3 separate regions of the Mus musculus genome follow, and all the other regions are reported to be linked to region 1. Evidence: microRNA targets listed by miRTarBase, many of them from high-throughput screens and not tested one by one. Region 1 holds a microRNA gene; each other region holds the end of a gene's coding sequence. Distances are between the middles of the regions.
Evidence for each region. Region 1 holds the annotated microRNA mmu-miR-1896 (CUCUCUGAUGGUGGGUGAGGAG, at 2,542-2,563, opposite strand). A microRNA usually pairs through its seed, bases 2 to 8, with sites in the 3' UTR of a target mRNA and lowers its output. Matches are read on the target gene's strand: a 7mer-m8 pairs with bases 2 to 8, a 7mer-A1 pairs with bases 2 to 7 and ends in A, and an 8mer does both.

Region 2: miRTarBase lists Il6st as a target of mmu-miR-1896. Seed matches in the 3' UTR shown: 8mer at 904-911, 7mer-m8 at 1,105-1,111 and 7mer-A1 at 2,774-2,780.
Region 3: miRTarBase lists Tstd3 as a target of mmu-miR-1896. Seed matches in the 3' UTR shown: 7mer-A1 at 823-829.

What each region holds. Positions count from the first base shown.
Region 1 is chr13:21,443,100-21,447,771 of GRCm38, reverse strand. Mir1896 (microRNA 1896) reads right to left here and starts at 2,612; the gene lies at 2,532-2,612. Zscan26 (zinc finger and SCAN domain containing 26) reads left to right here. Exons shown (of 6, transcript NM_001347491.1): 6 at 1,943-4,672. The coding sequence ends at 2,841. 4930470G03Rik (RIKEN cDNA 4930470G03 gene) reads right to left here. Exons shown (of 4, transcript NR_151504.1): 3 at 3,579-3,701; 4 at 942-2,850.
Region 2 is chr13:112,504,009-112,507,008 of GRCm38, forward strand. It overlaps Il6st (interleukin 6 signal transducer), which reads left to right. Exons shown (of 17, transcript NM_010560.3): 17 at 1-2,852. The coding sequence ends at 437. Among named protein-coding and RNA genes, the nearest start is that of Il6st, 41 kb to the left of the region's middle.
Region 3 is chr4:21,755,785-21,758,784 of GRCm38, reverse strand. It overlaps Tstd3 (thiosulfate sulfurtransferase (rhodanese)-like domain containing 3), which reads left to right. Exons shown (of 4, transcript NM_029840.1): 4 at 310-1,403. The coding sequence ends at 382. It also overlaps a transcript of Ccnc not described here. Among named protein-coding and RNA genes, the nearest start is that of Tstd3, 9.9 kb to the left of the region's middle.

The DNA of each region.
Region 1 (4,672 bases):
GCATCTTTTTGCATTTGAATTATGGTAGGCCATGCAGTGCCTCTGCCTTGGCACTCGGCATTTTGGTATTTGTTTTTATTAGGCCTGTTGTGGCTTAATTTGTATACATAATCTAAACTGTAGCCTCTCTAGTCAGTGCAGGTTTTTGTTTTGTTGTTGTTGTTGTTTTGTTTGTTTTTGTATATACAATAAACTTAGTAACACAGTCAAGATTTAAAAGATCTACAACTCCAAACAATTTGAATGAACAACACACCAAGAAGTGGAGCTGAGCCTACCTGTTGCTCTTCCCTGAGGCAAAAAAGTCTCAGACAGAGTTTCCTTATTCCCTTTCCTAGCTCCTTCAAATCACTGTGAATGGCAGTGCTGAGGGTGGGGTGTTAATCAGTTTCTTTGGCTCTGCTTTGTTACTGTTCTATTTCTTACTTTTAGTCTCAGTCTCTCTCTCTCTCTCTCTCTCTCTCTCTCTCTCTCTCTCCCCTCCCTCCCCTCCCCACCCCCTTCTTTTTTTTTTTTTTTTTTTTTTTTTGACACAGGGTCTTCCTGTGCAGCTCTGATTGATCTCAACTACAACTATGTAGATCAGCTGGCCTTGAACTCTCTAATGTCTTTGATGCTTTCACTAAGTTATGTTGTAGTCTTCTCTGTCACTTAAATACGAATGTATAGATGTCTCTCCTTGCTTAGATCCCTTAGTGAACTGGGAAATGCTATTCTGTTTTTTCACATGAAGTACTGTGGCCACATTGGGAAGAGGAACCGAGAGATAGAGCTTTCGCTCTCCTCAGGCAATAGCGAATTGTGCTGCGCCTCCCACTCACCCGCACTCTGTTGGCCTGTTTGTTTCCATTTCCCCTTCCTGTTTCTCTCTTCTGGCTCCCTCCTGCCTCATTCATTCTATCCCCTGCTCCAGGCTCCCCATTCACTCACTGTCTGGGTCAGTGTCCTCGCCTGCTCGCTCACGGGAAGTTAGCTTCCAGTTTCTGGCTTCTTTCTCTCTTTCCATAGTTAAAGAGCCAAGTTTTGTTTTGTGCCCTGAATCTGCTATAGATCCCCTCTGAGGGGAACAAATCATATTTCAACATGATGTTTTTGTGAATGCATTATTCTCAAGGTCTTATGCTCCCGGTACTGTTGATTTATTGTTAAGAACGTAAACACTTTTTCCAAGATTACATACTACTCAGTGATAAAATTGGCACCATGTCAACTCATCTTCATTTGTCAAAGTACCTTCCCTGCTTAACTTGATGGTCCTCGGGTGACCTGATTTATGGTGCTTTTTTGTTTCCCAGGTGACAAATCATGATCAAGAATATGCAGTCATGCTTAGTAGCTTCTGTGTGTGTAACATATGTCACATAATAAAATATAGAACATTTAAAATAAATCACCTCCCACCACAACCCCTGCCCTTCCCCAAAGCCAATCTGGTTAACACTTTCCCAGATGTCAGGCTGGACGTGGTGGTGCTGTAACTGTGGGACCTGAGAGGAGAGGATTAGGTTAGGCCATGTTATTCTGCATAGTGAAAACTTACCTCAAAAAAAACAAACAAAACCACAGTTTCTTGTAAATCACTCTTTATATATATATAAAATAATCATGAGCAAAATTTTGTTGTTGTTTTTTTACTTTGTGAGGATTGAAGCGATCTCATCTCTTAAGAAAACTTTTACAGAGGATCTGGTTTCAGTTCCTGTCAACTACATTGCAGCTCACAACATTCTGTAACTCCAGTTTCCGGGAACTGGACAGCCTCTTACGGTTTCCTTGGCACTGCATGCATGTTGTGTACATGCATACATGCAAATAAAACACACATAACATGTTTTTACATTTATACACATGGCTTTATTTAAGTATTTCCTGCTATTTGCAGATTCCTTTCCCTGAACACCAAAAATAAAATAATTAGTGATATATATATTTACTATTTCAGGTAAAGAGACAAGGAGTGAGAATGGGAATCTCATTGCAGGGACAGACTCTTGTGGAAGAATGGAATCATCTTGTACCATGACTGAACCCATTGAGGCCCAGTGTGAGGACCTGAGCTTGAAAAAGAATCCAGCCATGCCCAAGGAAAAAACTAACAGCCAATGCTTGGAAACTAAGGAGAGACTTGTTCAGAACTCAGGCCTGATTGAACATGACAGGGCACATACAGGAGAAATGTCCTGGGAATCTGTAGGATCTCAGAGTTCTGTTGCTGCTGACCATCAGGAAATCTCTAAAGACAAAGGTCATCCCTGCCAAGAGTGTGGGAAAGTCTTTCAGAGAAGTTCACACCTCATCAGACATCAGAAAATCCATCTTGGGGAGAAGCCTTACCAGTGCAAAGAGTGTGGAAAAGTCTTTAGCCAGAATGCAGGTCTTTTGGAGCATCTCAGGATCCATACTGGAGAAAAACCCTATCTGTGTATCCATTGTGGAAAGAACTTCAGGCGAAGCTCTCATCTTAATCGACACCAAAAAATTCACAGTCAGGATGAGCCCCGAGAATGCAAGGAGTGTGGGAAAACCTTTAGTCGGGCCCTCCTCCTCACCCACCATCAGAGAGTCCATGGTCGTTCCAAAAGACATCACTGTAATGAGTGTGGGAAAGCCTTCAGCTTGACCTCCGACCTTATTCGACATCATAGGATTCACACTGGAGAAAAACCTTTCAAATGTAATGTGTGTCAGAAAGCTTTCCGCCTAAATTCACACTTAGATCAGCATGTTAGAATCCACAATGAAGAAAAACCCTACAAGTGCAGTGAATGCAATGAAGCCTTCAGGCAGAAGTCTGGTCTCTTTCAGCATCAGAGACATCACCATAAAAGCAAACTGGCTTGATGAGGTTCTCTGTTTGAAACATGGAAATGTTACATTGATAAGCAAACAGCGCCTTTTGAAAGAACTCACGACGGCTTCAGGATTCTTGGAAGCCATTTGCCTCCGTTGTGTCCCTCTCTTGGCTTTACTTAAAGTCATAATTAGACTATAATAATTTACCAGAATAGCAGAATCAGAGTTAAACAAATATTCACTACAGAGCTTCTCAGAGCTTTCAGTGTGATAAGTACTTGATTATGTATCTCTTAAGTATTAGCTTTATGTGTGAATGAAGTGTTTGAAATCAGTAAGTCAAGTGCCTATAGATTTATACAGGACAAGATCAAGCTGATATTTTTGTAAGTACTGTAGCAACAGGCTCCTAAAACATAAAATTAATGAGGGTTGGGGATATGCTCAGTGGTTTAACCAAGTTGCTATGCAAGTGGAAGGACTGTTTTGGATCCCCAGCACCCATGTAAAGTCAAATGAGTATGTGGCCAGCCTGTGGCCTGTGGTCCCACCCCTCAGGTGGCAAAAATGGGATCTTTCTAGCAAGCTGGCTAGCCAGACTAGCTGTATCAGCAAACTTTGGACTCAGGGGAGGGAGTTTGGAGAGCAGTCGGTGGAGTTCTTGAGGAAGACTCCTGATGATAATCTAAGTGCACATGTGTCCATACGTATGTAGAGCCATACCTGCAAACATCATACATGTGAAAAGACAAATCCTAAGGAGCTAGAGTTAGCAGTTAACATACCTGCTCTTGCAGAGGACCCATCCATTTTCAGTTCCTAGCACCTCCATAGCACAGCGTCTCACAGTTCCAGTTCTGGGGATCTGCTAGCCTTCTCAGGCTTCTGTACACAGTGGTCCACAGAAACTGGTGGACACACACACACAACTGGTAAAATATTTTTAAGCCCAAAATAAATCTAATAATGCTTAGAAATACACATCCTCAAGGGTCTAACGTAGGTTAACTGAACATTTTCCCTGTTAGGTTCACACAAACACTGGCTTCATATCCACTTTACCTTTGTACCATCAATGAATGCATTTCTGAAAGCTTTTGCTGTTTAACTATAGAACCTACCCTTAGGATTAGCTCATGTCATTTTACATTTCCTGCCCATTTTAACCACAGTATCACAGTGTTTCAAATTATAAATCAAAGTTTTACCTAAACTATGCAAGAGACTTTGAGTCATTTGAGTGAACTGTGTTGAAGTATTCTAAGCAGCGACCTCCTTACTGGGCAGCAACAGTGCCAGTACAGTGACTGCTTGAAGGACACCTTTTTTCATGAATGTCCCATGGGGGGAAATGGGGTTTTCCCCCTTTGATACCAATGATGCAAATTTAAATGCTACTTGTTTTGATATTATTTTGACCATGCAAATCAAATCAGCTCGGAGAGATCATGGCCATCAGGTCATATTGACTGTCTTGCTAGTGATGAAAAGTAATAAGCTTGGAGTCTTCCCAAGCCCAGCACCCGACTGCTAAACATGGCTTATGGTTGGTAATTGCACAGGGTGTACTTCTCAGGGAAAGGGCTTCTTAAGTTATGCCGCTTTGGGAAGAGAAGGGGACCCTTGTACTGACTACAACTTGGTTTCACTACACTTGACTTACAAATAAGCCAAGAACTTAGCAACATAGAAATGCTTATTTTTCTTGTCCGATAGAAAAGGATAGTCAGTCCAAAACAGATCCATGGTAAACCTAGTCAGCTTGCTGCCAGTCATGTCTAAGGAGGGGACAGGCCAAGGACTGCTAGGCACCTAGGTGCAATTCTGACATTAATCTTCTGTTTCATGCCCTTTTTTTTTTTTTTTTTTTTTTTTTTTT
Region 2 (3,000 bases), 91 Mb from region 1:
AAGTGTTCTCAAGGTCCGAGTCCACCCAGCCCCTGCTAGACTCGGAGGAGCGGCCAGAAGACCTGCAGCTGGTGGATAGTGTAGACGGTGGGGATGAGATCTTGCCCAGGCAACCGTATTTCAAGCAGAACTGCAGTCAGCCTGAAGCCTGTCCAGAGATTTCACATTTTGAAAGGTCAAACCAGGTTTTGTCCGGCAATGAGGAGGATTTTGTCAGACTGAAGCAGCAGCAGGTTTCAGATCACATTTCTCAGCCCTATGGATCCGAGCAACGGAGGCTGTTTCAGGAAGGCTCTACAGCGGATGCTCTTGGCACGGGGGCTGATGGACAGATGGAGAGATTTGAATCTGTTGGAATGGAGACCACAATTGATGAAGAAATTCCCAAAAGTTACTTGCCACAGACTGTAAGACAAGGTGGCTACATGCCGCAGTGAAGGACTGGCTCCTGAACTTCAGCAGGAACTGCAAAATAAAGCTAAAGACGAGTGGCTTCAGATGAGAAACAGTCCTCACTCCCTGAAGATAGGCATTGCCTCTAAGGACAAAGTCACACCTGGGCCGTCTCCATTCCAGAGTAGCTGGAATTCTCCTTCAAGCACTACATGAACTGACTTTATCCTCTATAGCTGGAGGACTCTGTGCTCTTTCAGAATGTTTGCACTGCCGAAAACAAAGTGTGTCTGAGTTTATAAAGCTGTTGGTTTGCTACATAGAAAACGGGGGATTTAAATGAGCCACAATGTCATGGCATCGTTCAGCTGGGCTGGTTTTGATGAGACTGACCATCCAGATGCCAGCGAGAAGGCCAGCAGCATCATTTAAAAGTGCCCTGTGGCACAGTGTCCAGATTATGTCATCTAGAAGACGAAAGAATGGAGGGGTGGCTCGTTTCTGGGTCTGTCAGAGAAGCATGGCCTGCTCCTTGCTGTTGGTATCGATGCCGGTTACTACTGAGGAAGAGGATAAACTTTAAAGAGAAGCAACATAGAAGCACCCGCTTTCTTATAGTCACCTACAGCCTCCCAAGAAACTGCTTATTATTGAAAATGTCTTTCCGAGTCAATTTCATCCACCCTATAGTGGACCAGGCTGGCCTCAAACTCAGAGATCTGTCTGCCTCTGCCTCTGCCTCTGCCTCCAGAGTACCGGGATGAAAGGCAGTGCACCACCACTGCTCCACTTACGAAGATTGCTGTTTTTAAAGACTTAAGTTGTTGACATTTTTCTGAACACACATAACCACACCAGGGACAGATGATTCTAGAGACTGGTTGAGGAAGCACTTTATCCAGAATGTCTTCAACTTTAAATTACTTTAATTGACTCCACCTTGTTTTGATTTTCAAGAATAGCAGGGTGTTTGTTGAAGGGTGGCATTTCCCAGAGCCTCATGCAGTCCCAGAACACACATCCCAACCATGTCAGCGACCACCACAATGACAGAAGTCCTCCTACAGAGCTGAGGAAGCTGGAAGGGTCCTGCTAGTTTGCAGGGTGGGCTTTGAACCCACAGCCCTGTGCATGCTAGACATTCACTCTACCGCTGAGCTGCTCCTCCGCCCGGCTCATTATGTCATCTAGGCTCTCGTGATCCTCCTGGCCCAGCTTCCTGACTGTCTGGGACTGTGGATGTGTGCTGTCACACACCCAACCAGGTCTTTTTAATATCTGCCATTTATGAGGTAGAGTTTTTACACGACTTAGGACTATCTTAAACCTATTCCTTCTAGTTGCTTTATTAAGGAATAGCCTAGGCATCCAGTGTTTAGCACTAAAGCCATTAATGTATTTGTGCCTAACTTCCCAGTGTGACATGGAGGTGGGGGCTAAAGGTAGACACTGGGCAGACAGGAATTGGCTGAGCGCCGTTAGAGGCTGATCACTAAGTGTGCTCACAGGAAAAGGGTTGAAGTTTCAGAGCATGGGCACCCAGATCATTTATAGCGGTTACCACACAGTGCCTAGGAGGAGTTGATATGCACTTAGTTGGATGCAGTTTCACCTTTTACTCTCAGAAGGTTGTTTATATTCTACTTGCTGATGTGTTATCATTTATATTTTTATACTGGGTAGTCCTTTTCTGTGTTCTTTCACATGTATAATCCTCGTGAGACTGTACATGCTTTGCTCTGGTATATTCAGTTGCCTCCTTGGCAAAACCAGCCTGGAATTGCCAAAATGCCGGAAGTGAAGGGAGATGGTGAAAGTCGGGCACAGGAAGGCCAGGTCAGGGGCAGAGAGACCAGAATTCACACTACAAGGCTGGCACCATTGCCATTCAAGTTGGACGTCAAAGCCTGATCCCAGTTAGGACTGAGTTTTCTATGTATATATCTGCCAGGAAGTTAACACTTGCTGAATTTCTCATCTTCTCACAGTAAGCAGTCTAGTTATGGGACTCTATCCATGTTCAGCTGTGACTTCCCTCATATCAGACAGTGGTGCTGTGAACGTTGCAGTGTGAAGTCTGTACTGGCTAGGGATGGTAGCCCAGCGTGAGTTCAGGCATGAACATAGAGGCCACTGAAGGAAGAGCCTCCTGGAAGCAAGTTGGCACGTTAAATCCCAGACAGAAAGTGTCCCAGGGAGCCAGGGCCTCCGCCAGCAGGGAGGGGGTGTGCTCACTGCAGGAACGTTCATTTAGAAGATGTACCATGGAGCACCTCCCTTTGCTCTAAGAGAAAACCCATCTTAAAGTTCATCTTGAATACAGACTTCGCTCGAGCATGTTTTAGAATAATCTGGATGCTGTACCTTGTACCTTAGGTAGCAGAGAAAGTAATCTGGCGTCTTTCTGTAAAACCGTCTAATAAAGCTAGTTCTGCCCGTGGGCTCGTATTCTTTCGTGTGTAAAAATGTAGTGTAAGGCGCACCAGAGAGCAGCCTGGCTTGTGGCCAGGGCTAGTCCACTGCTTCCCATGCAGTTGCCTCTCGAGGACTCAAAGAAAAAGGAAGGTTTAATGCTGAGTCGCCGTTACAAAACCTAGCGTTCCCATC
Region 3 (3,000 bases), not on the chromosome of region 1:
TGTTAATAAAAGCAGTATAACCAGGCAGTGGTAGTGTATGGCTGTAATCCCAATGCTCAGTAAATCAATCAATCAATCAACCAATCAATAAATAAATAAATGTGATATGGGGACCAAGAGCTTGTGTCTTTCCAATGTACTCAAATTTTTTTCCCCATTTTTAATTAGGTATTTAGCTCATTTACATTTCCAATGCTATACCAAAAGACAAGTTTTTTTAAAAGAGATGTAGAATCTAAATAATTTTTATGAGTGGCTATTGCAAAGCTCTTCTGTTATGAAGCAACACTTACTAATGTATCTTTTCAGTGCTCAACATTATGCTGGAGGATGGAAGGAATGGGTAACCTATGAAATTTCAGAGGAGAAACAAGAAAGTTGACTTTTGGAATTACAGACTCGGTGTTCATATCTATAAGGATGGTGGATTAAGCAAAAGAAAAACCCAGCCCTGGCACCAAAGGCTAATAGATTCTGGATGACTGCTTGGCGACCGTTTTCCTCATCTGAGAACTGAGGGTGCTGCTCCCCTGAATATTTCAAAGTCTACTGCACACTGAGATAATATGAGTTGCCACTGAAATTATATTCTACAGTTCATTTTGTTATTCTTTTCTCATACATTACACCCGAAACCAAAGTTTCCCCTCCCCTCCCTCTACAATTAATTTTTAAGTATTTTGGTGTTCCAAAATGATCAGATAAGCTGGCGGTGGTGGCGCACGCCTTTGATCCCAGCACGTGGGAGGCAGAGGCAGGCGGATTTCTGAGTTCGAGGCCAGCCTGGTCTACAGAGTGAGTTCCAGGACAGCCAGGGCTATACAGAGAAACCTTGTCTCGAAAAAACAAACAAACCGATCAGATAGCTCCAGTTATCTAGCCATGTGTCATCACGGTTGTGAGCAAAACCAGTGTTAACAAGCAGCCCCAATTTTAAACAATAACTGAGCTTCTGGTTTGAGACCCATATTTTTAGGTCCAATACTGGAAAGACGGAGGCAGAAAGATCACCATGAGTTTGAGTCCAGCTGGGACTACGGAGACTCTGTTTCAAAAGAAAAGACTCTGGGGTCTGGAGAAGTCAACTCTACTCAGGAAAATATATTCACAGCATCTGAAGACTCATGGCAATGTGTGGGCAGAGTAGTAACAATTCAACTCATTCTAAAAATTATAATTAATGTGAGGATAAGAATCTGATGGGTTTTGACTGTGGAGAGCAAAGTAACCTAGAAGAGGCCAGGAATTGGTGTGGGATACTGGAGATGTTCTGTGGCCATGACTGAAAACGTCAGGAGTGTGTGTGTCAAAACTCATCAAAGGAAGCATAAAAATGAGTGTTTTTCCACGTCAATATACCTCAATTTCAAAACTAATAAAATATTAAAGTTTGACTCCCTCCAGCATGCATGTATTTCTTTAAAGTGTTAAGTTATATGCTTGTTGGTGTGCTGGCATCATAGTAACAAGGTAAACTTGTTTTCCTGCCTGCTGCTTCTGACCATTTGTTTTGACTCTCATTTGTGTAGTTATTTAGATCAGGTAGGACCCACCCAGCAAAGCTCTCCAGGTACTTCCTTCTGCAAAATAAGTGGAAGCCATTGAAAAATGTGGAAATACAAACATTTGAACATCTGTCTCCACAACAGCAGTCTGATTTCTTGATTGTTCATACTAGGAAAGCTGCAACACACACACACACACACACACACACACACACACACACACATACACACACACATAGGCACAGGTTAGCGTACTTCAAGACAGTACTGAAGCAGCAAGGCTTTGGAAGATCTATGAACTTAAGGAGAAAGTAAACTGTAGAGGATGTACCAAAATTGTAGTACTGGGCCCATCAACTAACAGCCTGGCTAGTACCTGGCTTTTAGTTACAACTAATGGTGCAGTTAAGCCATAAATTGACCAGTCCCCTCAAGAACTAAATGTCAACTAAGATCCAAATGCAGGTGTCTTCCTGAACCTCTGATAGATGAATATGTAAATATGATTACCCTCCCATAAGGTTTCATATGCACACTAAAGTATGAATCATAATTCATTCATGTGTCACCAAATGTTCTTTCAACTATTTAGAAATTCAGCAAAATTCTTAAGGCCAGGCCAAAAAGCAGGTGACAAACCAGATATTGCCTATAGAATACAGTTTGCGGTTATCCTACAGGTGAATGAGAGCCAAAGGCTATCTCAAGTTTTCATATGTAATGTCCAGACTTGTATCAAAACTTGCTAGGCACAACAGGAGTCAGGATCTCTTTTGGTTTGTTTTTGTTTGGAGACACTGTCTTACTGTGTAGCTGTAGCTGGCCTGGAACGCATACATACACCAGGCTGGCTTCAAATTCAGAGACTGCCTGCCTCTGCTTCCCAAATGCTGGGATTCAAGGTGTGGGCCACCAGCAGGAAATAGTATCTTATAATTGAAAAGTAGCAGGAAGAGGCTAGAGAGATGGCTCAGCGGTTAGGAGCGCCGACAGCTCTTCTGAAGGTCCTGAGTTTGAATCCCAGCAACCACATGATGGCTCACAACCATCTGTAATGAGATCTGATGCCCTTTTCTGGAGTGTCTGAAGACAGCTACAGTGTACTTACATATAATAAATAAATCAAAAAAAAAAAAAAAGGAAAAGTAGCAGGAAAAAAGGAGCCTGGTATGGTGTTATATTCTTATAACTCTGACATTTGGGAGGTGAAGGCAGGAGGAGTCAAGGTCCTCCGTTACACAGAGAATAAAAGGCCAGCTTGAGCTATATGAGGCCTTACCTCAGAGGAAAATAGAAGAGAGCCAGAGGGGGTTTATATATTGGACTTTCAGACACAAGGATTAAAGTAACTGTTGTCCTAGTTTGATTTTCTATTTCTGTGAAATAACACCATGACCACAACTATTCTTATAAAGGAAAATATTTAACTGGGGCTGGCTTACAGTTCAGAGGTTTAGTTCATTATTGTCATGGCAGGAAACATCATGGCTCACAG